Caenorhabditis elegans: one gene and its partners. The protein of the gene in region 1 binds, or shares a complex with, the protein of each later gene. Each region holds a gene or a part of one and is shown on either strand. Other genes may lie near its edges. The genes, in order: pat-4, pat-3, pat-2 and unc-97.

Evidence for each region.
Region 2: pat-4 (region 1) and pat-3 share a complex: the UniProt entries of both Caenorhabditis elegans proteins name them as parts of the integrin containing attachment complex.
Region 3: pat-4 (region 1) and pat-2 share a complex: the UniProt entries of both Caenorhabditis elegans proteins name them as parts of the integrin containing attachment complex.
Region 4: pat-4 (region 1) and unc-97 share a complex: the UniProt entries of both Caenorhabditis elegans proteins name them as parts of the integrin containing attachment complex.

What each region holds. Positions count from the first base shown.
Region 1 is NC_003281.10:88,952-96,673, forward strand, and holds pat-4 (Integrin-linked protein kinase homolog pat-4), read right to left. Parts: upstream 5,859-7,722; 5' UTR 5,853-5,858; coding exon 5,757-5,852; intron 5,195-5,756; coding exon 4,889-5,194; intron 4,280-4,888; coding exon 4,183-4,279; intron 3,687-4,182; coding exon 3,541-3,686; intron 2,912-3,540; coding exon 2,656-2,911; intron 2,242-2,655; coding exon 2,148-2,241; intron 1,732-2,147; coding exon 1,473-1,731; intron 839-1,472; coding exon 692-838; 3' UTR 502-691; downstream 1-501. Other genes in the region: mrpl-40 (Large ribosomal subunit protein mL40), read left to right, coding at 118-201. UniProt on the Caenorhabditis elegans protein: Probable pseudokinase that acts as an adapter protein. Component of an integrin containing attachment complex, which is required for muscle development and maintenance.
Region 2 is NC_003281.10:3,908,429-3,915,931, forward strand, and holds pat-3 (Integrin beta pat-3), read right to left. Parts: upstream 5,722-7,503; 5' UTR 5,702-5,721; coding exon 5,504-5,701; intron 5,449-5,503; coding exon 5,244-5,448; intron 4,627-5,243; coding exon 4,223-4,626; intron 4,125-4,222; coding exon 3,688-4,124; intron 3,132-3,687; coding exon 2,793-3,131; intron 2,234-2,792; coding exon 1,746-2,233; intron 1,313-1,745; coding exon 1,026-1,312; intron 973-1,025; coding exon 901-972; 3' UTR 503-900; downstream 1-502. UniProt on the Caenorhabditis elegans protein: Integrin alpha ina-1/beta pat-3 is a receptor for laminin. Integrin alpha pat-2/beta pat-3 recognizes the sequence R-G-D in its ligands. Plays a role in cell migration, morphogenesis and probably in cell-cell interactions.
Region 3 is NC_003281.10:8,817,320-8,824,913, reverse strand, and holds the start of pat-2 (Integrin alpha pat-2), read right to left. Parts: upstream 6,016-7,594; 5' UTR 6,013-6,015; coding exon 5,840-6,012; intron 5,793-5,839; coding exon 5,555-5,792; intron 5,509-5,554; coding exon 5,385-5,508; intron 5,068-5,384; coding exon 4,656-5,067; intron 4,593-4,655; coding exon 4,363-4,592; intron 4,114-4,362; coding exon 3,638-4,113; intron 3,582-3,637; coding exon 3,445-3,581; intron 3,353-3,444; exon of another isoform or gene 3,261-3,352; intron 3,221-3,260; coding exon 3,026-3,220; intron 2,552-3,025; coding exon 1,840-2,551; intron 1,383-1,839; coding exon 546-1,382; intron 83-545; coding exon 1-82. UniProt on the Caenorhabditis elegans protein: Required for muscle development probably through the regulation of the actin-myosin cytoskeleton. Component of an integrin containing attachment complex, which is required for muscle maintenance.
Region 4 is NC_003284.9:5,591,245-5,595,486, forward strand, and holds unc-97 (LIM domain-containing protein unc-97), read left to right. Parts: upstream 1-1,888; 5' UTR 1,889-1,917; coding exon 1,918-2,060; intron 2,061-2,116; coding exon 2,117-2,229; intron 2,230-2,279; coding exon 2,280-2,400; intron 2,401-2,447; coding exon 2,448-2,600; intron 2,601-2,651; coding exon 2,652-2,895; intron 2,896-2,939; coding exon 2,940-3,064; intron 3,065-3,122; coding exon 3,123-3,270; 3' UTR 3,271-3,721; downstream 3,722-4,242. UniProt on the Caenorhabditis elegans protein: Component of an integrin containing attachment complex, which is required for muscle development and maintenance. Probably function in adherens junction.

The DNA of each region.
Region 1 (7,722 bases):
ATTTTGCGAAAAATTCCGAAAATTGGTTAAAAAATTTTTTTAAAAAACCTGGAATTTTCCAAATTTTTTTTTCTAAAAATTAAAAAATTCCGAAAAATCCTTTAAAATTTCTTACAGGGACCCTCACTGACTCCGCCCATTCGAAACTACGAGGCTCCGGACGGCGACTACATTGATACTACGAGAAATTGGGCATCTTAGAGCCGAAAATTGTTGATTTTTATGTGTTTTATGGGTATTTTTGTTGTAGACAGTGACATAGGATGACGCATTAATAAAGGAATTATCGATTTTTATGGAAAAAACTAAAAATTTCAGTGAAACCGAGCTGGAAAAAATAAATTTGCCACTGCGGGGATCGAACCCAGGCCCTGTGATTGGCGGGCGAGGTCACTAGCCACTAGGCTACACGTGCAAATTTTTGGCAACTGATTATTTGGATACATGAAACTTACTGCAGCGAACTTTTTTGTCGAAGAGTGTTTGCGTACAGTAATCCTTACATTTCATAAGATTTTATTGATTTTTTCATAAATTGAGCAATTTTTTTTGACAGTTTAACATTTAAAATTAATATATAGACGGAAAATGCGATGGGGCTGGACAAGGAGCAGGCACTTTTGATGTAAAGCTTTGATAAATTGAATTTTAAAAAAATTGTTGAAAACATTAGAAAAGCAAAATCGATAAATCATAATATCATTCTCTCTAAAATCGGAATGATTTGATCAAAGTTTGGCCGACGTCCCGGGTCCTCGTTCATGCAAATGTTCATCAAACGGTTCATATTACGGGCGATTCCAGGGGGAATGTGCACTCGGAGACCTTCCAGAGCGATCTGAAATTAATAAATTTGGATTCAGCGTGAAATTTGGGTCTGGAAACGCTGATTTTGGAGGTGTAAGGGGTACTGTAACCCTAAAAGTACGCAAACACTGAATCTGACGACGACTTGCAGAAAAGCGGTGGAAAATGAGTTTTTTGAGTTTATTGAGGTAGAAAGTGACGGGAAATTCAAATTTTTTGATAAAAATTATATTTGATCAAAATTATACGAAGAAATTCGAATTTTTTGACAAAATTTCAGAAAAAAATTTTGATTTTATCTCAAAATGTCAACAAACTGTGGTTCAATTCGAATTTCTCGCAAAATTTTGAGCGTGGTCAGTCGTTACTAGACGTTTCTATTCCATTTTCAGGGCTTTCGGGGTACTGTAGTCTCGGAAGTACGCAAACACCGAATCTTACGACATTGAGCCCAAACGAGCTAAAAAATGTTGTCACGGCCTGTTTTGAGCTTCTGAGTTTGAATTTAAGAATGAACACTTTTGAAAAAAATAATAGAAAAACAATTTTTTTTGGGCCAAAAAAAAATTTTTTTCCAAAATTTCATCCGAAATTAACTGATAGATTAATTTTAGGATTTTAACATCATTTTTCACACTTTCAGCCCTCCAAAAACCCTCCCTTACCTTCATTCCGCATTCCATTGGCGGTAGATCAGAGAATGGGACCTCACGAGTGTTCAGCTCCCACAACAATATAGCAAATGACCACATATCGGCAGCTCTAATATTCAAGTCTTCTGGAGCCCGTGACAAGGCTTCTGGGCTCATCCAGGCAGGCGAATAGGCTTTTCCGACCTCTTGGAACGAGAATTTCGTATCTGCCATTGAGAGTTTGGCGGTGAGCTCCTCGTCGACTACAACGTGTTTGGAGGAGAGGTAGAACCTGGAAACTGGGCTTTAGGCTTATGATAGCTTAAATTATCTGAAACTCTAAAATTAGTTAAGAAACGTAAAAAAATGGGGGGAAAATTAAAAAATTAAAAAAAAAAAAAAAAAAAATTTTTTTTAAGTTTTTTTTCGAGTAGTGCCCCAAAAACTCTTGGATTCCTGAAAACAATTTTTGAAAATTTTTGTTGTAGCTACTTTTCGAAGAACATTATTTCAGGCACATTTTAAGCCAAAAACCGTTTGAAAGTATCAAAAACTAAAAAAGTTATGAACTTTTGAAATTTGGAAAAAAAAATCCAAATTTTTTTAAAAACATAAAATTCAAATTTTCCCGCCAGAAAAATGGGCGGAGCCTATAAAAATTTATACTTTTCTGGGAGCTCTTTTTAAGCTCCATTCAACCACACTAACCTCAAAAGCATAGGGTCCAAACTGTGCAAGTAGCTCATTCCTCTAGCAATGTCCAACGCGAATCTGACGGCTTGCCCGTGATCAATGACGACAGCTGCAATATTTTATTGATTTTATTAAATTATTTCAGCGATTTTTCACAAATTAATGTCAAAATCTAATAGATCTCGTTAAGAGCTTTCAGAAAAGTATAATCATGCCTAGGCTCCGGCCATTTTAGCATGAATTCGAGAATTTTTGGGTCTCGCCACGAAAACTGTTGGGTTACTGTAGATAAGTTATCTAATATGATATTGATAATTTTACTAAAAAGACAATTTTTTGAGTTATCTGTGCGCAGTATTTTAACAAAAAATCTCAAAAATTGGGAAAAGTACAAATTTTGAAAAAAAAAAATTTATCAAAAAAAAATTTTTTTCTACTTTTTCGAAATCAAAAAAAAAAATTTTCAAAACATTTTCTAGGACTAATTTTTGCGCCCTTTTCAATGAAAACCTTCAAAACTCACAACTTTGCTCGTGGAGCACGTTATACAGGCTTCCAAATGGCATGTACTGCGAGATGATCACCAAGTTCGGTGGCTGGTTAGCCGCGGCGAGCACCGCACAAATATTCGGATGAGCAAAAATACGAAGAGCCGGAAACTCGGTCTGGAAGTCACGTGAGATACGGGCGGTCACTTCTTGAACATTCAAAATTCGCGCCACAATATCGTTGCCCTGCCATTTTCCACGCCACAGTTCTCCGGAGTGTGATTCAGCGATCTGTAACAGAGTGGGGGTTAAGCTGGAAATTTTTGGGATTTTTAAAGTTTGAGGTAGCTTATCAAGTTCATCTTGATCTAGACTTTCAGAAAAGTATACATTTACTCAGGTCAAAAAAAATTTTTATTTCGAAAATGAAGTTTTTTTTTCAAACATTTCAAATCTTAATAACTTTGCCAATTTTTAAGATTTTTTGCAGATTTTTGACATAAAACACGTATAAAATATTGAAAAACAGTATTATTTATATTAAATAATAATATACACTACGGTAAGTGAATTCTGGAAGTTTACGTAGCGGGTTCCAATTTTCGACGAGTTTTTGAGTCCCACCGCGAAAATCCATAGTGTTAAGCTGTTTTGTGTCAATACAGTATTTTAATATTTTATTGACGTAGAACAAGTTTTTGTGCATATTTTGAGGTTAAAACCGGCTGAAAATCTCAAAAACAGTCAAAGTTATGATTTTTTCAATGTTTGAAAATTTTCCTTAAAAAATTTTTTTTTTCGAATTTTTTCAGAAACTTCGAAATTCGCGGAAAATTCCCATCCTTCAACGATTGAAACTAATTTTTTACGCTGAATTTGAATTTTTAAGTTATTTTCCACTGAAAAAATCTATAACCCACTTTAGTGATCAAATTCAGCGAGGAGACGTCGACTCCGGTGTAGCGGGACAGTGTGGCGTCCCGAGTACGGGACTTTGTACCCTTCCATGTGGTATCCTTGAATGGTACACGGTCATTTGGAGATTGTCCATGTTCTTGAGCAATTTCTAGAAAAAATCGATAATTTAAAAATTTATTAGAAAAAAGTCATCCCAAAAAAAAAACTTTTTGCGAGTCAAAAGTCTTTGCTGAAAAAAACATTAAATTTTTGTACACATTATTTTTAAGTATCAAAATTAAATTTTGCTCACCAAGAGCTTTCTGAAAAGTATAATCATGCCCAGGCTCCACACAAAATGAGCATTGCCCAGAAGACTTCAGAATTTTTGGGTCTCACCACGAAAACTTATAGGGTTACTGTAGTTTATGTTTTTCAATTTTTTAAGTTAATTTACCAAAAAGCTTGATCTTTTAGACTTATTTTAACGTTAAATTAAATCGAATCGCTTGAAAACTAAAAAGTTATGAGTTTTTGAAAAGTTGTAAAAATGTTGAAAAATGTTTTTTTTTTCAAAAAATGCATTTTTTCTTCTAAAAATCTTATCTATATGTTTTCCGACTAAAAAAATTCAATTTTCAGATTAAAATGCACAAAAAACTTACCCAAAATAGTGTTTTTGCACATTGGCTGGCAAACGTCCAGTGGGGTCATTCCCTTCTTGTTGCACACGTTGACAGCGGCGCCGCAGGAGATTAGGTCCTGAAGTTGTTATTTTGCAAGAAATCAAGGTAATTATTAACAAATTCAAATTCAGCTTGTTAAGAGCTTTCAAAAAAGTATAATCATGCCCGGGTTTTGAAAATTCTACAAATTTTCGATAAATTTTTGGGTCCCGCCACGAAAACTCCCAGGGGCTACTGTAAATAGGGACTTTTTGTGTTTTTGGTATAATAAATTGAAATTTTAAAATATTTAGGACGCAAGTATGAAAACATAAAAAAAAATAGCCAAAAAACTTCCAAAGTTATAAAGTGTTGAAAAAATGATTTTTTTTTCAGAAATTTTTTCCGGCAAAAAAAAGCTCAAAATTTTTGGTCAAAAGTGGGCGCATCCTTTATGAATTTATACATTTATTAAAGCTCAAATCTAGTTATATTTGATTATAAAAATAATTTCACCTAAACTATACATTTTCATTGCGAAATTAAAACTTTCCGAGAAGAACTTATTCGAAAATTTGGAAAAAAAATTTTCTGAATTTTTTGAAAAATCATTTTTTTCCAATTTTCCCAAAAAATTTTCCCAATCGAGTTTATACTTATTTTGAAGCTCTAAACAAGCTCTATTCGAATTTATCAATAAAATCACCTCAGCAATTTGTTCATATCCCCAAAAGCAAGCATAATGCAGTGGAGTCATTCCGTGCTCGTTGGTAGCGTTAACATCGGCTTTTCTCGACAAAAGCTTCACCACAATTTGTCGGTGTCCATGGGCGGCCGCCAAATGCAATGACGTGTCATCTCCCATATTCGTAGAGTTTACACGTGCTCCACGTGACAGGAGCATCTCTGCAATCGCCACGTGGCCGCCCTTCGCGGCCCAGTGGAGCAGTGAGAAGGCGTGATCGTCTCCGACGTTGAGATCGTGCTCGTGATCGTCCAACCAGACGCGGACCTGAAATTTTGATAGTAGTCTTAGTCTATAGTAAGGATTGTGATAAATCCTCTGCAAAAAAATTGGACAATTTCGGTGAAAGTTGATCAAGTTAGCATGAAAAGAAAAATCGGACAAAAATTACCGGAAATTCCAGATTTAAGCTTAAAATCTAGCTTTAAACTTGATTTTTCAAATTGGCAACAATTTTTTTCAAATTCAGCTTAATTTTAACTTTTAGAAAAGTATAAATTTGTATAAGCTCCGCCATTTTAAATAGGAATTTAAATTTAAAAAAAAAAAATTTTTAATGAATTTTTTTTTTAGAAAATCTCAGAATTTCGGATTTAAATTTAAATTTTTTTAATTGAGGAAAAACATTAACTTTCAAAAAAGTATAAATTCATATACGCTCCGCCCACTTTTCAGCGAAAAAATTTGAATTTTTCTAGAATTAAAAAAAATAATTTCCAAACATTTTCAATTTTTTTCCAAATTTTTTTTTTCAAAAACCTATACAAAATTATACTTTTTCAAAAGCTCTCATCGAGCCTAACCCCATAAAAATATTTACAAAACTCACCTGAAAAGCGTTACCCTCGCGGACCCATCCAAACACATCCTCCATTATAATGGGCACATTTGGCTTGTGCGCATGGTAATGAGTCGACAAAGACATTGTTGACTGGAAATATAAGGTTTTACGTGTGAAATAGTGTAAAATTTGAAAAAATCAAGAAAAATTGAGCAGGAACATGTAAAATTACAACAAAAAAAATCGGTGAAAATTGAAGAAAAAAACTATTAAAAAATCAATAAAAATCTCCAAAAATTTCCAAATTTTCTCAATTTTTCCAACTTTTTCCCGGGCCCCATGAAGCCCGGAATCTATAATTTCAAGCCAAAAAAGTTAGATATAAGAGACATAGACAAATAAACAATGCAATAAGTACAACAGAAAGCAGTAGAATTTTGCTGAGGCGACGGCATGGGGGGGGGGGGGTCAACATTGTTCCCCCGCTGGCCAGGCGAGATAGTAGAGGACTATGTAGGAGACGCAGAGAACAAGACGAAATTTGTTGTAAATGTATGTATTGTGGAGAGGGAGTAGTATCCCGCGCAGAGAACAAACGGCAAGCGATTGTGGGATATCTTTTCGTTGACCATTCCGTCGTCTAGAGGTTGGCTCAGAAAAAGCTCTGAAACTTCGCTTGAAATGAGCTTCTGGTCTTGAATGCTAAGAATTTGAAAAGATGAGAATTCGGGCTTTCAGAAAAGTACAAATTTGCCTGGATTTTGCCTGAAAATTTTTATCAAAAAACCGGCAAATTCGCTTCTAGGACATTTTCCAATTTTACCTTTCACAGCTAACTCCTGAAAAAGCTCTAAAATTTGGCTGAAAACGAGCTTCTGGTCTTGAAAATTCAAAATTTGAATAGGAAAATTTCCGAGCCATCAGAAAAATATTAATTTATGGTAACTTTCTCTTAAAAATTTTGAGGAAATCGTAATTTTTGCTCTGAAGCTCCGCAGCGAGTTTCAGAAGAATTACTGTAACTTGGCTGAAAATAGTTCGACAAAGTTATACCTAGTTTCATTAAATTAAGCAGTTTAAGGGTTTTCAGAATAGTATAAATTTGCTAAAAAAGCTTTAAAAAACCCCAATATTCCAAAGGACTTTTTTGATTAAAAAAGTAATTCAAAAAAAATTTTCACGTTATTTCAAAGCCCCCATCGCACATTTTTGTGCCCAAAAGATCTGTAAATTTTTCCTCTACAGCACTGAAAAGTTATGTATCAATTCCTGTAAAAACTCTTGAAATTCCTAGCGTTTTCGTGGCGGGACCCAAGTTTTTTTAGCAATTTTCTTCTCAAAGACTGGGTTTACAAAATACCTGAACCCGGAGCATAACGAAAAATTGTGAAGCTTAACAAAGTTACCACTTCACAATTGCAGCACTAAAATTCAATGACGTTTTTCAGACAAAAAACCATTTTCAGACGCTTTTCCCAAAACAGCCAAGAAAGGGCCTAACGTGGCCTAACATCCCAAAATTTTGCCACGTGGCAGAAAAATAACGGAATATCATATCACTAGAAAGTATATCATAAAATTGAGTTGGTTTTGAGGGGGCGAGAAGCTCATCGGAAGAAGGTATTCAAGAACATTTGAGAGAAAGAGAAGAGACGGGGGAGAGAGAGTGTGAAATGCAGTGAGAGACGCAGAGATTTGGTTCCCGTGGGAGTCGTGTGAGTTAGAGATAAAGAGATATGGAGAGAGATAGGAGACGCAGAGAAGCAGGGACGGATGTTGTAACACGATTCTCGGATGGAAACTGAGCATTGATGATGATGATGCCAAGGATTTTGGGGACCGGGAGGGTTGCGTAGAAAATTATTGATTTTCTGACAATTCCAGCGGGGGGAGTCGGAGTGTCCCATTTCGGTTTGATCTACGTAGATCTTCTACAAAAAATGCGAGAGAAGAGCCGCAGAGTGTTCTCAACTGATTTAGCAACGTGCTGACGTCACATTTTTTCGAGCTAAAA
Region 2 (7,503 bases), 3.8 Mb from region 1:
AAAGTCTAGTCACTTCTCTATCTTTCTTTTTTCAATCCTACAATTCACGTCAAAAAAAACTTGTTTATTCTTTGAAGGAGGGTCAGATATTTGATTATTGTAGTCTCTAGCGTTTTTAAGTGGTAAATACTAAATTTTAAATCGGTTGATATGCAAAAAATAAATTAATCAGGCTTAATAACAGTTGTCAAACCACTTCGGGTCAAATACTTGAAACTTTTCGAACTTTTGGGAATCTTCTAAACTGAAAAATTGAAAATCCACACGGTAAATAGGATAAAAAGAATTCCAATTTTAAACGAAAAAATTTAAAGAAATTAAAAGAAATAAAAAATTGTCGTCAAGTTGAATGCTTTCTGTGCACTTGGATGCAAACACCAAGCTCCTCACTTTACGCGCAATTTTTTTTCCTTTTTATAATTTAAAAATATTATTTAACATGTCTTCTCAGATAGTTATGGCTAATATCAGTTTCAACCAAAAATTAAAAAGACAAAAAATTAATTTTTCAGATTTTTTTCATATAAAATTAATATTACATGAAAAATTCGAACAAGATAGTTCAAAAATAAAAGCACCATTGAAAATTGGAAATAGTACAAGAAGTGTGTGAGTTGTTGGTCGGTGTTAAGAGGGACAAAAGGCAATGAAAGATGAATATAAAGCAAGTCAATATATAGAGAAGGAAGAAAAAAATCCGTATTTAGAATGGGGTAAAAGCAGTGTGATGAACAATTGATGAAGGAAAAAAAAACAAAAAAATGGAGATTTTTTGAATAAAACAAAGAAGAATGTGACAATTTATCGCTAAATACTCGTTTCGAGTTGTTTGGATGGAGAAATTGAGCTTTCATATTAGAAAATTTGGGAAAATTATTAAAATATAAGGATAAAAACTATTTAGTTGGCTTTTCCAGCGTATACTGGATTTTTAAATGTTGTCGTGGCCTGTTTGTAGATTGGGTTCTCGTTCTGAAAAATGATAATTTGATAAATTTATATGTTTTTTGTTCCGTGTCACTTACCGTATCCCATTTGGCCATAAGCCTTTCGTTATTGAAAGTAGCGTATTCGGATCTATCATGAAGTACTGTGAGCAATTTCCAGAGCAACAAGAGAAGAATTCCGAGGATTACGATACCCGCAATGACTCCGAGCACAATTGCGAGCACAGGGACAGGTGGAGGACAATCTTTATGTTTTCTGACCCAGACTGTTGCATTATCTGTGGCCTCATCGTAATAGTAGAGATAATAGAATGTACAATCATCAGCTGGATCCACAAATTGGCAGGGTGTAGTTTCGTTGAGATCTGGAAATTTTAAAATTTCAAAATTTCAAGTTTTTTAATCGAGAAAAAAGGTTTAGAGAATTAGCAAAATTGCAATATTTACGTTTTAAGTATTATACACATTTTAAGGCAAAATCCATTATTTTCAGAAAAAATGTTTCTATTTTCCTGAAAATCAAGATTAAACGTTTAGAAAATTAACAAAAAGTGTAATATTTTAACAAATCAAATCAAATTTCCATTTAAAAAAAGAAGAAAAATGGGCAAAATTCCAAGCTATTTTTCGATAAATCAAAAGTTTTAGTTTTCCAATATTTCGAAAAAATATTTTAATATCTTTTTTTCTTTAAATTTTCCGATCAAACGTGTTTTTTTTTCAGAAATAAAATTTTCAAAAGTTTCTGACATTTAAAAAATTGATTTTCTGCTTTATCAGTATATTTTTTTAACTTACTGGGTAATTCCTCAACAGGAATAACTTTGAATTCACACTGATCACAGGCGGTCTCATTAAGTGGCCCTGTCTGCCATTGCTGGCACATTACACAATTCTTGTATTCCACACATTTCGTCGGACACGTCGGACAAATTTCGCATTTCGCTCCCGAATATCGATTTCCGTCGGGCGAATCGAAGCATCGACATCTTCCACAAATACATTCACCCTTTCCATTACAGATTTTTCCATTTGCAGAGAGGCATGAATCAGTTGAAATTGGGCATTCACAGGCTCTTCCAGTCCATCCAGGTGCACAAATACACTTTCCACAGTTGCATTCACCGTGTTCTGCACAGATTTTACGATCGTGTCGTGGGCAATTGAAGTTGTCGCATTCACAGAATTCTCCAGAGATTTGTTCTTCTGGATTGGCACGTGGATTACATTCACAACGTCCACAGTTACACACACCACGACCCTCACAGATTGCTGATTCGTTAGTTCTGGAAATTAGATCATTAGAATTTTTAAAAAAGAAAAAACGGAAAACAAAAATAGCTTAAATTTTTTAGCATTTTTGATAAACAATTTAATTTTTGTTAATTTTCTAACTTTTTTTCCAATTTTTTTGATTTTCTCTGAATTTTTTTAAAAAATGTAAGAAAGCAAAAATTATTTTCTAAATTTTCGAGCAAAAGTTTAAACTTCTGATTAGGCAACGACCTTTTTTTCGGAGTTTTTCCGGCAAATTTAAATGGATTTTCTCGTTTTTTCTTGTGATTCCATCGAAGGCGTCAAATTTTATCCAAAAAACCGAGAAAATTCAGTTGAAATTTTTAAAAAGAAAAAACTACAGAAAATCAATTTATTTGGAAATTTTCAAGGAATTTCAAAATTTTGTGATCTTAATTTTTATTCCAATCAATTTTCGATTAGTATTCCAGCCATAGAAGTTTTATAGCTTTTTTTTCGATTAAAATTTTTTTAATACTGCTCGGCCAATATATTTTTTAAAATTATTTCTCACATAATTTTCATGTTAAATTTTAAAAAAAACCATACCTTTTGCATTTTTCATTGAGCGCAGCAGTACTCATTCCAGGTCTATTACATTCACAATATTTTCCAACATTTCCTCCTTTGCATCGACAAACTCCACAAACCATATCTCCTCCGTTACAATCAGCCGAATTCGTCACAATTCTGTCTTGACGTTCACAATCACAATCGCATAAAACTTTAACATTAACGATAAGTGTCTCATCCAATCCAGATGGTCCGATACGGAGAACAAAATCACGTTTATCGATACAATGAGTATTTTCAAGGGTTACTTCGAATTGAACTTCATCTCCAACACGAATTCCCTCACAAACATTGGTATCTTTCAGTGTGGTTCCGCTGAAAAATTACGGTTATTTATAGGGTCAAATTTTAGAATAAAATTGTAATAATTTTAATAGTTTCGCTCCAAAATTGTGCTTTTTTTTAGTTTAAAACAATTTTATGTGAAGACTTTTTCGTCTAGAAACGTGAGAATTTAAGAGAGCTCAATTTTTCGATTCAAATTACTTTTTTTTTAATTTCGAGAAAAATGAATATTGAAAATTGCACGGCGAGGGCAATATTGTAGATATTTTACAATTATTTATATTGTTTTATGTAAAAGCGGATGAATCTGAAGGTTTCAACACCGAATTAACAGATTTTCACCTGAAATACCATAAATAAAAATTATATTACCAATTTTGAATGTTAAATACAAAAAAAGTAACAAAATAATCCAAAATCAGAATTTCAGCCAAAAACGCTTCTTCTCGTGGAGTACACGAAGCCTGCGTAAATCTACATGATCGAGGTCTTTCTCAATCTGTTTCTACAGCGTTTTTTTGTTTTTTTTTTAATTTTCAAAAGTTCCCAACTTTCATTTAAATTGAATATTATTCAAAAAACTCACTCCAAACACATAGATCTGTAAGTGAGCTTGAGTCCTTCTGAAGCATTTGCATTATCAACCATAATGATCTTTTCACTAATTTTCAAATATTCCTTCTCAATCAAATCGACAATATTTCTTGAATCATTAGCCAAAACTCCAACCGACGATGAAACATCTGGGAGTGCATTCGACAATTGTGTATACAAATCCTGATTGTTCTTTGTAACAGCAAAAATGACATTTGCCTTACGATCCTTGATCATTTGATGAAGAAGTGCAATTGATGGATAATCTTGATTAAGTGTTTCAGTATAATATCCTTCTCTATCTAAATGACATGTTCCATCATTTGGTTCGACGACACCTGCCAATCTTCCGTCTCCAGCGAAATGGAATCCAGCGTCAGTTGAGAAAACGATCATTTTACGAGCACGTTCACGCCACCCAATGGTTTTCTGAAATATTGATTTTTAGATTTTAAGCTTTCCCGATATCTCAAAAATGTTGATTTGATTCTTTTTGAATTTTTCTTTTAAATCAAATAACCACTTACATTACAAGCCAACGCCTGAACAACAGCATCGAAACCTCCTTCCGGAGCATCCAAATTTCCAGAAATTTCAGCTTTATCAACTTCAGCCTTGAACTTTGCCGTGTTCGTCGTCAATGACATTTGATGCTTGAATCCATATGGTTCTGCACATGGTGTTGGACACGGAGATAATTGTTTTTCGATTCGTGGATCGATGAATGGCATAAGTTTCTTGTCAATGAATGAACCGAATCCTAATCGGAAATTCTTTGTGACAGTTCTCATTCGTTCGGCGAGCAAGTCTCCGAGTTCGGACAGTTTCTGTTTGTCATCCTTCATGGAATATGAGAGATCCATCAAATAGTACAAGTCAACTGGATAATCAACGGCTTGACGGTAGGTCACATTGAAACGAACACGGGATTCTGAAAAAAAAACATTTAGATTGTTGTTGATATTGAAGAACTGGATTTAGAGAAAAATCTTGTGATTTTACAAGTTTTCGAGTCGCAGCGGTCACTAATTAATTTTTATTTTATAATCACCCTGAATTGCAAATTTTAGAAGTTTATCATTAATTCGTTGATTTAGGCATATTTTAAGCCCAAAAATCTCTTAAAATCCAAAAATAGTCAAACGAGCCTAAAATGTGTAAATCAACGAATTATGATAATAATAATAAATTACTTCACTTAATTGTATATTACAGGAGCTTTTTAAGATAAAAATTAAATAAAAAAGAGGCTGAAAATAACCAAAACCGGAAATATTTTAACTTTCCGCAAAAAAAATGCAGTACGATTTTTTTTTCAGTGTTTTTGAGACAATTTTCAAATGTGATTTTCAGCGGTTTTTGTTGTGAAAAATCAATGAAAAACATTTCTTTAATTAGTGCAAATTTTTCCTGAAAATTTAAGACTACGAAATTACCCTGAAATCTTCGTTTTTTTTGCTGAAACCCCAAAAAATTTTTTGTATTTTATTGATTATTTTCATCGAGTTTTTAAACGAATTATCTTTGAAAACCATATAAAAAACTTACTGGGCCGAATTTCGACGTACATCTCCTGTGGTTTGATCTGAACGGCTTCTTCCTCAGATTCAACTTGTCCTTGATCGGAGAGTTTACTGTCTTCAGTGATATCCAATTTTGTGGCCGGATCCTCGATATAACTGTTTGGACATCCATGTTCCATGAGCTTGGCACGGCTATCACAACGGGCATATGGCTTCTTCTCGTCGAACATCTGGAATTTTTTTTATTAAATAAAATAAATTCATGGTCTCAAGCATTTAACATACCGGTGCTCCACACCACGCGCAAGATTCATGATATTGAATGCACGCTGAGCATGTGTAATTGTCACGTGACAGACTGTAGCATGGGAATTCTGATTTTTCGACGACTTTTCCAGTGACTTCTCCAGTCTTCCAATCGCTTGCTGGTAAAGCGAATGGAAGAAGTGCTGCGAGGAGCAGCAATGATGTTGAAGGTGGCATTTGATGCCGGGTAGGTTCAACTGAAAAATTAATTAATTGGCTTTTAGTACATTGAGAACGGAGTAATTAGAAAAAAAAACGGTGAGATTAAAAAATGGTGTATTTATAAGAAAAATTGATGATGAAACTCTACAGAAACCTGATATCAAACTGCTTTCAACAGGTGGCAACTTTCATACAACTTTTGAAATTTTTAAAGCTCTCCAAAAAAGTTAGATTTTTTGAAAAAAATATTTTGATATAAAAATCAAGAATATCATACTAAAAATGGCACATCCCCAATTCATAATTTCTTCAGTGAAGAAAAAGTTATAATATAAAAGTTATACAATAAAAAATATATAGGAAATTTTGAAAGAAAATGACTTCTTGAAATATTAGTCACCATAGTAGGAAAATTTATTGTTTACTCAACAAACGGAGTGAATGCGGGAAGTATAACGGAGTCATGTTCTTTTTGTTAGAAAATTACATAGTTTTCGGGGGAAAATATAAAAAAACTTGCAGCGAGGAATATTGGAGTTCAGACAACTCGGATTTGAGAAAAATCGGTCGTGTCGAGACCGGGTACAGTATTTTCGGGAAACAATAACTTAATTCGGTATCTGCAGGCACACATGTGTAATGTATGAAATTTGAGATTTCGGGATAAAACTTCATCCGTTTAACATTTTTGGAAGTTATGCACATAACTTTTCAAACCTTAAAAATCGATAAAAGTATCAACTACGTCCACCGATCACCTCTTTTCGGAACGTGGGCGGATCTGCCAAGTGCTTCGACAGGAGCATCTCTCGCCTTCTCTCTCTTCACAACTGCCATCAACCCAGCAGCAGAATGCTCTTCGAAGAGATAGTGTAGGCGATAGAGTGCTCTATGTTGGCCGGGAGAGGGGCTCGGACCAAAGTGTAACGAGAGTTACACCTGCTTGTATCGTCGAAGAAACAAAGAAGACGAAGGGAAGAAAACCAAAGGGAAATGGGTGAAAAGGCGTTAGAATCGGGAGCTTCTAGAGACATCAGAGACCGATGAAATTGCGAAATTCACAGGAGGGGGTTTGATGTGGTGAGGAAAGGGATTTTTCGATAGTTTCAATATCGTTAGTTTGGTTCAAAAGTGGGAGTGGATTCTCATTTTGGAAGACATTCAAACAGGGATATTAGCTGAAACTAAAAAAAAGGATTTCACATTCTAGATCGACATTTTCCTTCTTTTTTTTGTGGTTTAATGAAATTTCTGACTATTTTGGGTATTTTTAAGCTTCCCGCTATTCCAAAAATGTTTAAACTCATTGCTGAACATCAAAACTGTTCCTGGTAAACTAGTTTAGGTGAAACTTTGAAGATAACTATAATTCTTGCTCTTACAGCTTATGAATGCACCTAGTAATTATTAAAATGTCAAAGTATAATTAATTTTAAAATGGCTGTCAAAAGTTATCATACAACGATATAACAATTTAGACATTGTGAAAAACGACGATTTCAACACTTAAATAACGAAAAGAGTAGAAAATAATAGCGTCTGAGTCATTCTTGTTCTAAATTTCCCACGCCCACCGTCTCCCGTCTCCAATCCATCAAATCGATAACAATCTGATAGGAACTAATTCAAAATCCAAACTGAATTGAAATTGAAATTGGGAGGAACAAAACGAAGAAGGGAACCAAGGGATGACAAGTAGTAAGACATCTGGTGCATACATATACTAGTATCCTCTGTCTCTATGTCTCTCTGTGTTCGTATTGCCCTTGTGTGTTTAATCATAGCACTAGCCCGGAATAAAAGAGCATTGAATCTGT
Region 3 (7,594 bases), 8.7 Mb from region 1:
CAGCGTATTGAGCATTTGGTTGACGGTCGGCACGGAGTTCTGCATGCTCAGTTGGTGGACGATTACGTTTGAAGAAACCACACTGAAAATTAGATTATTATTATTTATTTTCTGAGGGAAACTGTAAATTTGTTTCGAAATTGGTTGTATACTGTAGTCGCTCTGATCTACCTATATTCTACAGTACCCCCGACGTAAGCTCGCCGTGGACGTTGCTGTGAAATTTTCGAAAGCGTGTGAGCACAGCTTTAATGTCGTAGGCAACTTCTTTTAAATTCAGTTTTTCTTAATCTTTGTGACAATCATTTTTTACCTTTCGAAAATGGCAGAGTTTGAACCATAAACTTTTCTCGCGGCGAGGCCCATCCGAATAAATCAATGAGGCTTTGAGAAACCGCTTCACAAAATTGGAAATTAAGATATAATTTTTGCTGCGTCACAAGTAAGCATGAAAGTTGGCGAAAGAACTTTAATTTAACTTGCAAGCCAATATCTATGTTGTTATGTAATAAATCGTATTTTTGAAAATTAAATTTGAAACTCACCCTCCAGAGCAGTAAAATAAGAAGAATCAAAATGGCAAGTCCAATAAGAATAGCCAAAAGATAAAGCCACCAAGGAAGATCTCTTCCTTCTTCAGAAGCAATTGCATTCATATTTGTAGATACTGCTGTTATCAATGTTGGCTTATGTGGAAGATTGTATTTAGTAGATGTGACACGAGCAAGAGCCAACGATGAAATGTCTCCTCCAGGATTTTTCTCATCAACCAATGTGTTTGTGTATAATCTAGAGAAGATTTCCACAAGTACAAACTCGTCTTCTTTAAGATCATAAATATCACATTCAATATGTGTACATCTCAATGAATTACAATCAACAGATGCTCTTGATAGTGGTCCCTTATAATCAACAACTCCTCCAGCTTCCTTCGAAAGTTTAACAGCTTCACGAAGATCAGAGAATCTAGCCTTATCACTTCTTGGTTCACCACGGTGTTCTCCTCCCTTCTTCTTCTTCTTTGGTGTTGGATTTCTTTTAACTCTCTTACTTCCAGCTCTATCAAAATCTTCATCATCTTCCTCTTCAAAATCATCTCCATCATATTCCTGATCGTCTGGAATATATTCATAATCTCCCTTCTTCTTTTTATCCTCAACATATTGCCAATTTCCAGTATTCTGACGAATCTTCTCCTCGTCTTTTTCGTATACATGTACTGGACCAGATTGATGATGAGTTTGATGTTGTGTAGATTGATGACGTGTTGATTGGGATTGAGTTGTTGTTTCATCTTCATATGATTCATCATCTTCTTCTCTTGAATATTCATTTGGTGTCTTGGCAACTGGTGGTTCAGTTGGAACATGCTCATTTGTTATCTGAAATTTTAATTCGTTTTTAATGTGCGACAGTAATTTTTTGTGAACATTTATAAAATAAGATGTTCAGGATTCTGAATTGAAAAAAGTGAAGTTTGTCAGCCCGAACCGGAAAATCAATTTTTTTTGTGATATTTCAGCATATTCGATTGTTTCCAATATTTTTTTTTAACTCGCCGATTCTAAACATTTCAGAAACTGACGAAAACAATTCTTCAAAATTTCCCAAGAAATTTGAATTTTATCCTAAAAATGATAAAGTTTCTTACTTCTATTTCTAAAACAAAATAGTTCCTTCCGTATTTCACTGCAATTTTAAATGTACAGAGTTATAAAATTCAGTGTCTACAGAAATTGGGGATTTGCAACGACTATGAGATCGTGGCAAGACCCACTCAGAAAAACAGCGTGTACCTTTAAAGTAATGTCTAGAAATTTAAAAATTATTCAAACGTACCCTCAAATTCAATGGATTAACATTTTGCAGTTGTTTGACCCGACATCTTCCTTTATTTGGTGGATTAACAACTGGTTCTGTGATAATGTACAGAAGATGACCTCCTTCAGTGGAAAATGATGGCCAGAAGATATCCAAAGTAGCTGAGTCAACCTCAGATGGACCACGATTACTGATTTGATAAAGATGTGAAACAACTGGACCAATTTCATTGTCATCGAAAGCATCTACACGTGTTTTGTTCGTCATTGAGAAATCGACTTGTTCGGGATTTGATCTACCATTCAAACTCAATTGATTCTTAAAATCAACTGGAATAGTGAATGTGACTTTATTATCAGCAACAGTATGAGCTTCTTCATCATTACTACTGTTCACATGAGCATTAATACTGATTGGAGCAAGTGGAGGTTTATCAGAAGAAGCAGTCACTCTTACAACACTACTAACTACTTTGTTAGCTGGAAGTGGATTGCCGAGATCACATGCAAAAGTCCATTTTCCATCCGAATCTGGTTCATCGGAAGTTGGAGAACAAGCTGGAGCAGACTTGCTTCCATCTCCACCAACACTTTCAATTCCACCGTATTCGAATCCTTGTGGAACATCGAAATAAAGTTTTGTCTCATATGAATCTTCTCCTCCATTTTGAACTGTTACATTGATAAGCATTGTATTGTCTTGAGTTCCCAAAAGGAATTTCTCACGATCACTGAAAAAATATGTTTAAAAGAATTTAATTGCTGGCATTTGGTTTATAGGTTTAGGAATAATTATTTTAATGATATGATTTCACTGAAAATTTCGCCGATTCCGTGAAGAAAAGAAACATACAATCTTCGTGGAATTATTTTGACAGGAAAATCCTGAAGCAAACATTTTAAAAATGGCTGTGAACTTGTCTCATTATAAAAAATGTTTTGAAAATTGTCGAGTTAGGTTACATTGTATTTTGTGTTATATTCAATTTTTCTCGCTCATTTCCTTATATTTTTTTGAAAATTTTAAAATTAGAGTAATGATTAAAACATTTCGAGACAAACCCATTTTTTCAATAATTTTTCAAACTTACTGTAATGAGGATTTTCAATGTTTCCCTTTCTTTTATATTCAATGAAAAAATGGCATATTTAATGTATTTTTTCAACACTTTTTATCGATCATTTTGAAAATTAAAAAAACTTACGCAACAGCGGTAACCTTCAAATCAGGAACACAAAGATCATCTTTTCCACAATTATTTGCAATATTAATCTTATTTTGGAATGAAAGTGGTACAGTTGTGTCAATTGCTGGTTCAAGCTTATCACCACGAAGTTTTCCGGTTTTTGATTCAACATATGTGTAGTTGACGGACCAATGAATTGGGGAGAGCTTGTCTCTGAAATTATTTTATTTTTGATTTTTAGAAAACATTTTATTTTCTAATTTGAAGGTTTGCAAAGCATACGAACTATTTTACATTCAAAAATTAGCCTTGAACTTTTTTTCACAGCAGAGCAAACATTTTCTCAATTTTTTCTGATAAAAAAATTTAAAAAGTTGTGGTCATTTTGAGTTGAAAAACTTTGAAAGAAAATCAAAATATTTTCTCTGAAAACTCACTTCATTGTGGAAGAAGCAAAGAATCGATGTCTGAAACACTTTTGTCGTCCCTTCTCAAGACGAACACGTTGTTCGATTGAAGATGGATGGTCTCTTGTTTTAGATCCTTGTGCAACTTTAATGCTTCTGTCAGATTTCTGAAATATTATTATTGTGTTAAAAATTTTTATCTAGTTTTAAAAAAGTGACCTACCACATCTTTTTGCAAGAAATAAGCTCTTGGTTCAGGAGAATGATCATCAAGATTGAATCGAAGATCAAATTCCAAATCATTTGGTGTATCTCCTTTTCCTTCATATTTGAAACATGTATTAATATGTTTGCATGCCTGTTTTCCCAATTTTCCATCAACATCGCAATTCTTATCTTCTACACTGATCAATGCACTCTCTGGTTCAGTTTGTCCCGTGACAGTGACAACTGGTTTTGTGAGTAAAACAGCTGCATTTCCAGATTTCCATGCTCCAACTGCAATGTCTGGCATTCCATTTCCATCAACATCTTCGTTTCCAGTAAGGGAGAAGCCAAATGATTTGATATTTCCATGACCAATATTGGCTCCTTCGATCTTCTGAGTTGGTAGTTCGCGAACACCATCTTTGGATCCGTGGATCACATAAACAGCTCCTTGTTTGTTTTTTCCAGCATATGGTGCACCAACAATTACATCTGAAAAACACTATTTTGTAATTTAAAATTTCCAACAAAAAATGCAATAAATTTCCATAGCGGTTCAAATGAGATTGAAAGTTCAAAATGCCGCACAAATTTCCGATAATCTAGGATTTTTTATGTCTAAAGAAATTGTTAAATTAAGAAAAAGAAAAGTGAAAATACGAAAACTAAATTTGAATTTCCGCGTAAAATAATTTCTGTGAGAAATTCAAATTCGTTCATTTTTAGTAGCAAAATCCCTACCATTATAACCATCCAAATTCAAGTCTCCAGCTGCTGCGACTGCGTGTCCAAATCGTCCCCACTGATCATCTCCAACAACTGCAATCTGTTTTCCAAAGACTCCTGGAGCAGTTTGAAGCATCACAATGACCTTTCCGACATCGTATTGTGGTTTTCTTTCTTGTGTTTTTGCGTCTTTCACGCTACCGTAATCTGTGTAGAATGGGCAGCCCATGATAATGTCGTCGCGTCTGAAATTAATACAGAGAATATTTAGAGAATTGTAATTTTATGTGTTTGTGAATCTCACTTACCCATCTTTATTTACATCAGCAACTGCAACAGATCCTCCACAATATTGTCCATGTTGAGTTGACACCTCATCAGTCAAATTGATCATCATCTTCAGTTTCGACGTGTATAACACCAATTTTCCGTGCAAATCGTTTCCACGTGGAACTCCGGCAACAATATCATCAATACCATCTCCATCAAAATCTCCAGTTGCTGTAGAATATCCCATCATATCGTGATCGTATTCCTTGCTACCGTACTCGGTATTCGGGCGGTCTGTCTGATTTTTGATGTTCTGTGAGAACATTGCTCCTTGCCAATACCACACACCGGGGGCTCCAATAAAAACACGATTTTGATTCTTCTTTCCTGGAACTGCAGCCGAGAATCCGCACTGACCGTATCCAAGACGATGACGACCGTGGCGAGCAGCTGTAATTTTTCATCTAATTTTTTATAAAGTTACCAATTGTTCGAACTCTGAACTATTCCAAAAGGTTCAACAATTTTCAGATTTTTTTCAGGAGCCTCTAGAAGTTTCTAGAATTTTCCAAAAAAATCTCAAAATTTTAAGACGTTTTTAACAGTGTCTTGAGGGTTGCAGAAACTTTTCAAACTATTAAAATATTCCTGCAATTCCTCAAAATTTTCAGAAGTTTCTAGAACTTCCCAGAACTTTCTTTTCTCGAACTCCTTTTTCCAAAACTACAGTACCCCTGCAGTACCAATTAAGTATCCCCAAAACATACGTTCTTGTTTGCACGATGAAAACTCCTCCGCATTATCAAATCCATTTTCAGCATAGAAACAGGTTCCAACTGGCTCAATAACTTCGAATTTTGAGTAGAAATATGTGTATTTTGGAGCACACACCTGGAAATTTAATTTTTAATTTTCAAACTCCGCAGAATAAACCTACCACAATTTTATCATGCTTATCATTTGATCGAACAGTTGCACCAAAGAATTGATGTGATTTTTCTTCAATTGGAACAAGATGTGATCCATTGAGTTTCTTCAAGTTTCCCTTCATTTTATCCACGTGGACTTCTCGGCATGTTGCCCGGTTCACGGAGCAAGCATAAACTGCTCCAGGTCTTCGGATTCCAGCCAGGTTTGGGTTATTGCTTTCAGCTTCAGGGGCACCGACAACGAGGCTGAAATTTTTGAATGTAAAATCTGTTCAGTTAATTCAATAACTTACACAGGCATTCCCTTCTGCTCATGGTAAAAATCGAGTGAGTATCCAAAGTAGTTACCAGCCATGTGATGAACCACTACATTTTTTGTGTCGATGTTGAAGGTGGCAACTCCGGCTAAAAGGCCCAGTAAGCCTAGAAGCAAGCCGATCCTTCGCGGAAAACTACCCTCTCGCATCTACTGGAAATTTGGAATTCGGTTTTTTGAAAACAATCAGAAAGAAGTTTGCAACGAGTATACGGAAGATGAAACGATTTTAGAAGTTGATTGAATAGAAAAAAAATTTCAAAATCTCAAATTCAAAAGTTCCAAGAAATATTTTTGAAAGGGAAAATAAAGAACTTTGCTTGAATTTTAATTTTGGAACGTTTTTCATGTCTAAATGAATTAAATTCAAAGTAGCGACCAATTTCACTGAGATAATTTCAAATTCTCAGTTAACATGTGGATCAATGAAGCCTAATCGGTGTCTTTTCCAAAAACCGGAAGGAAGGAAAAATGGAATTGAACAGAGCACACGCGATTGCGAAACAAAGAACTGACCCTCCGAAGACGACAAGTCATTTATAATTGAGAAGGGAGCTCTACGAGCATTTGACACACTCACATTGAGTCATGAACATATCAAGAAATGAATTGAACGAACAGGAGAAGTGAGCGAACGGAAATTAACGGGGGAACAAAATGACCCGTGACACGTGGAGCAAGATTGATGAAGAAGCAAAGTAAGGAGCAATTCGAATTTTGCATAAATCTCAATATTTGTTGTGTATTGAGCGAGAGCCAACAACAATATTTTCTCAAATGCTCAATTGAACTATTTCAAAATGTTTTGACTGTTGAAAGTTGTTTGCTGGAACCTCTAGCTTTTGAGTTGTACTCATTCGAAAATCTTTAAAATTACCGGAGAACCCTCAAAATATTCAGAATATTGGCTGGACTACGAGTTAAAAATCAGAAATTCGAAGTTTGTGAAAAACGTACAAAAAGGAAATTCCGAAACAAAACTGGCATCTGGAGACTCATAGTTATCCCATGAATTTCCGAAAAATACGATGAGTCAAGAGTCGTTTGAAATAGAGAAGGGAGGAAGGGACACATAGTTTCTTCAGTTTCCGGATAGTTATCAAACATATGTCTAATGGTGAGAGAGTGTGAGAGACGAAGAGACGTAGACATTGATGGAAGCATGAATTGAGGATGAAATTGGGAGGATGGAAGGGGGCGGAGGAAGAGGCACCACTTATTTGGGGACACGAGAAGCAATTAGTTTGGAATCAAGTAGATATGCAGTTACTATTTTTGAAACACCAAAGAGATTTTCTAATATTTTGAAAAACTTGCAAAATTATTATAATAGTAGACGTTCAATCTGACCAGACCAAAATTTGATAATTGAATTCAATTTTTGAACCTACTTGGAATATCAGGGAAACTTCCTGCCAAAATTCGACAATAAGTTGCCACAGATTTTAAAGTTTTTAAAGTTTCAGTTTTCACAGTGAAATCTAGTTAATTCAAGTACATAAATATTGTGGTCAAAAACGTATTGCACCAATACTAATAGAACAAATACGGCACTTTCTCCAATATTTGTAGTATGTGTTTTAAAAATCACGCCTACTTGAAGCCCATCAGTATACGAACAACATTTTATATATTGGTGAAAAGTTCATGTAATAGAGAGTATTGGGATGTGGGCATGAAGTAATTGTCAGTAGAATCCAAGATATGGTTGACTGGTGACTGTTCCCTCTCC
Region 4 (4,242 bases), on another chromosome or scaffold:
TTTTTAGTTGGGAAAATAGGACATTTTTGAAAGATTTTTCATTTGATGTTTTAACTTTCGGATTAATTGTGAGCACTTTTTAAATTGTTCCAACTGAAATTAAAAATATTTTTAGACAAGCTAAAGATTTTTCGATATCACTGAGTTTCAATTAAAAAATTTTGAGAACATGCCACACTGGTTCATTTTGTAGAAACTCACTTTGAAACTTATAGATTTGTGTAATAAAATACTCAGTTTAGAATTTATACACTGCTCCGAAAAAAGTCGGTCCAAAAACCTCTGTTATCGGTTTACGATCTTCTAGAAAAAGCGGTGGTATTTCTCAACACTGCGCACAGCTGTTTGGCAGGTGGAGGCATTTCTACTGGCAGAGGACCTCATTCTATAATGTCATCATTTCAAAGTTAGTCATTGTTTTCAAGCTACAATTTCTGGATTTTTGTCATCCTGATATATGATACTAGCTCATGATCAAGGCCAGTCGTAAGAATATAAAAACACAAACGAAGGTCAGATACTGAACATTTATCTGCCAACATTTGCGGGGTTCGTACTTTTCAACCATGTCTTTTGATTTCTCATATCTAAACTGATGATCCTTTCTTATTCTCACAACTGTCTATAAACATGTGTTAGAAAAAGCTTGTTCCTGCCTGTTCCGAGTATCAACGAGCAGCAATACTTGGCTATTAATGTGACCCTACGCACGCAACCCGATTGTATGCGTCTCTTCGAATCGCGCACTCTTCCCGGAGTCGTTACGTCTGCGGCCGTAGTCTGTGACCCCCCGCTTGGCTGTCGGCCAACCCGCCGCGCGCGCATTGCCTCTCGCTTTCTTCCACTCTTTTTAGTTGTACATTCTGCGCACTTTCTTTTTGCCCAGTAAATGCCCATATCACTGTGTGAGGAAAGTTGATTTTCAACAACTATTATCATTTTTAAGGTGTTGTTTATAACTATTACTATGTTTAAATATAATTCAAAACTTTATAGTTTAGCCGTATAGAAGTTGTATTGAATTTTTGGTTTCATTTTTACAACTAGTTTTATTTTTAAATGCAAACACCACAAAAGAAGCATTGTTGCTTTCCTCCGTTGCATCTCAAAACATCTGGTGTAATACATGTATCACATTTTGAAGCGTGAAATGTGCCGCTTCACTGAATTTTGTTATGTAGAGTAGTACATAGAAAGTCAAAAAAAAATCGAAATAACTAGTTCGAATTTTTTCCCATTTAAACACACGATATCCCAACCGATGTTTCTGAAGAATCTTTTTTCTGTTCCCAATCAATACTGATCATCAACACATCGGATACACGTCTCCCTCTGTGAGTTAGTCAGGGAAGCTGAGGCATCCTGTTGAATCTGTTGTGCAGCAGCACTCACACACATACTTTTGTTGTTCACTTATATCTCTATCTCTTGGTTCGTTTTCATTCTTTACACAAAATGCAATGGCAAAAGCTTCCACGCCACCGCCTCCGAGTTCTTCTTACACATATGTCAACCCGTCGCATCCTATACCTTTGGCACATTTGCCTCTTCCTTGAGGATTTCTTCTTTTCTACTGTTTCACAGCCCCCTCGTATAATACCTCCAGTGTTTTTACGATTCTTAGAATATGGAAATTTCTGTGTTTATGCAAAAATTTACTTTGCATATAACAAAATGTAGATATGAAATTCTGACTTTTTGTGCTCTTTTCGATTAACCAACATACCTAACCTATACACACTATATGCTTTCTCCGGCTTTCCCTTGTTTGTACATATTTGTCTTCATATTACTCGCTCGCTTTCTTTTCTTCTTTCCTACCCCCACCTTTTTCCTTACAAACCCATGGTCGTTAAACCATCCTGTGTGCATAGTGGCCAACTTTCAGTGGTTCAATAATAGATGGTGTGTGGCGGAATGGATTCCGACCACAACCATATCAACGGGGATCTCGCCCATGGCTTCGAGAACATGGTGTGCGTCCGTTGTAATGATGGTTTTTCGATGCAAGATCAGATGGTGAACTCTTCCGGGCAAGTATGGCATTCGGAGTGTTTTGTGTAAGTTTTTATAAGTTAGAATTAAGAGAACTCAAAAATTGCAAAAAAATTTTTAGATGTGCTCAATGCTTTGAGCCATTCCCAGACGGCATCTACTTTGAGTATGAAGGACGAAAGTACTGCGAGCATGACTTCCATGTTCTGTTCTCACCATGTTGTGGAAAATGCAGTAAGTATCTTTGAGAAGACACGCAGAGCCATAAATGTTTTATATTCTAGACGAGTTCATCGTTGGACGAGTGATTAAAGCAATGAATGCCAGCTGGCATCCGGGATGTTTCTGTTGTGAGATTTGCAATAAACAGTTGGCCGATGTCGGATTTTTACGGAACGCTGGACGGTAAGTTGGAGAGCGTAAACGAAGCTCGAAAGAATTTCAATTTTCAGAGCTCTCTGTCGCGAATGTAACGAACGGGAAAAGGCAGCAGGTCATGGACGATATGTGTGCCACAAATGCCACGCAATGATTGATGATGGACAACACATCAAATTCCGTGGAGATTCATTCCATCCTTATCACTTTAAGTGCAAACGTTGCAAGTAAGAATTTATCTTGTTTTACAGTATGAGTTGAATTTAAAAAATTTTCAGCAATGAATTAACGACAGCTTCTCGTGAAGTAAACGGAGAGCTCTACTGTCTCAGATGCCACGATACCATGGGTATCCCAATTTGTGGAGCATGTCACAGGCCGATTGAAGAGCGTGTCATCGCGGCACTCGGCAAGCACTGGCACGTGGAGCACTTTGTCTGTTCCGTCTGTGAGAAGCCATTCTTGGGACATCGTCACTACGAGAGAAAGGGACTTCCATATTGCGAACAGCACTTCCACAAGGTACTTGAAATATGAACAAGCAAACATTAATAAGTTTGTTGCAGTTATTCGGAAATCTTTGTTTCAAATGCGGAGATCCATGTTGCGGGGAAGTATTCCAAGCTCTTCAGAAAACGTGGTGTGTCAAATGTTTCTCCTGCAGTTTTTGTGATAAGAAACTTGATCAGAAGTGAGTGCAAAACTATTCATATGAACTTGATGAAAACAAATTAATGTATGCATTGCAGAACGAAATTCTATGAATTCGATATGAAACCAACATGCAAACGATGTTACGATCGGTTCCCCACAGAATTGAAAAAGCGCATCTCAGAAAGCTTAAAGGACCGCGACGTTGAAAATCAAAGAAGATCGATGAGTCCTGGACCAAAATAATAAAAAAGAAAGAAATAAAGGAGTCCCCGTAATTCATCAATTTCCATTAAAGAAGTAATACTTTCCAAATGCCATTGCTCATTTCTCTTTCCCATTGTTTTTAATACCTTGGTGCTAAAAAAAAACATCGTGAAAATTGTTATCAATCCGTTTTGTCTTTTAAATGCCTTATATTTCAAAACTATTTTTCGGTCACACAAAAATGTCATTGTACTCATTTCTAGCTCCATAATTGTCCTTCCCCTTCCCTTTCCCAGCTACTTTTTGATTCAGAAGCCTTCTGAAAACAATCATAACTTTCGACCAAATTTTTTGTGTTCCTATCCGCAAAAACTTTGCATCTTTTCTCGGGTGTCATTATTGCATAACTTGATTTCTGAATTTTTGTACTATTTTTTTGTTCAGAAAAAAAATATTGACTGTATTGAAACAAAATCGTATTGTAATATTGAATCCTTTTTTTCGGCATCAACAATCAATTTGTAATCAGTGATCAACAGGAAGGTGAGTCCATAGCGCCCGGAGAGATATTTTTGGTTCAACTTGAAACGTGTTAAGTGAGAATTATACTTTCCAGTGTCAAAATGTTTGTGAAATTTCTAAAAATACGAATGAGCCAGTAGAAATGATCGTATTGCACTTGAAATTCTCTTGGGAATTTATTTGTTGAAGCTTCAAAATGTGAAAGAAAAATTGGGCTATTCCAACAAAAAACGACTTTCATCGTTTTTTTGCTCAGCAAACTCTGTTTGATCATTTTACATAAAGATGAAATAGAGTCGATGATTTTTTTTTAAATTCAAAATGACAAAAAAAATTCAGTTTCCAAGAAGTTAATTTCGTTAAAAAATAAATTTTCAATTATCGATTATTTGAAGAATTTCCAACAAAATTCTTCTTTTTTATCAATTTTTTTTTTGGTTTTTTTTTGTGGAAAAGTCTAAAATTTTGTAAGATTCTGTTATTACTCAA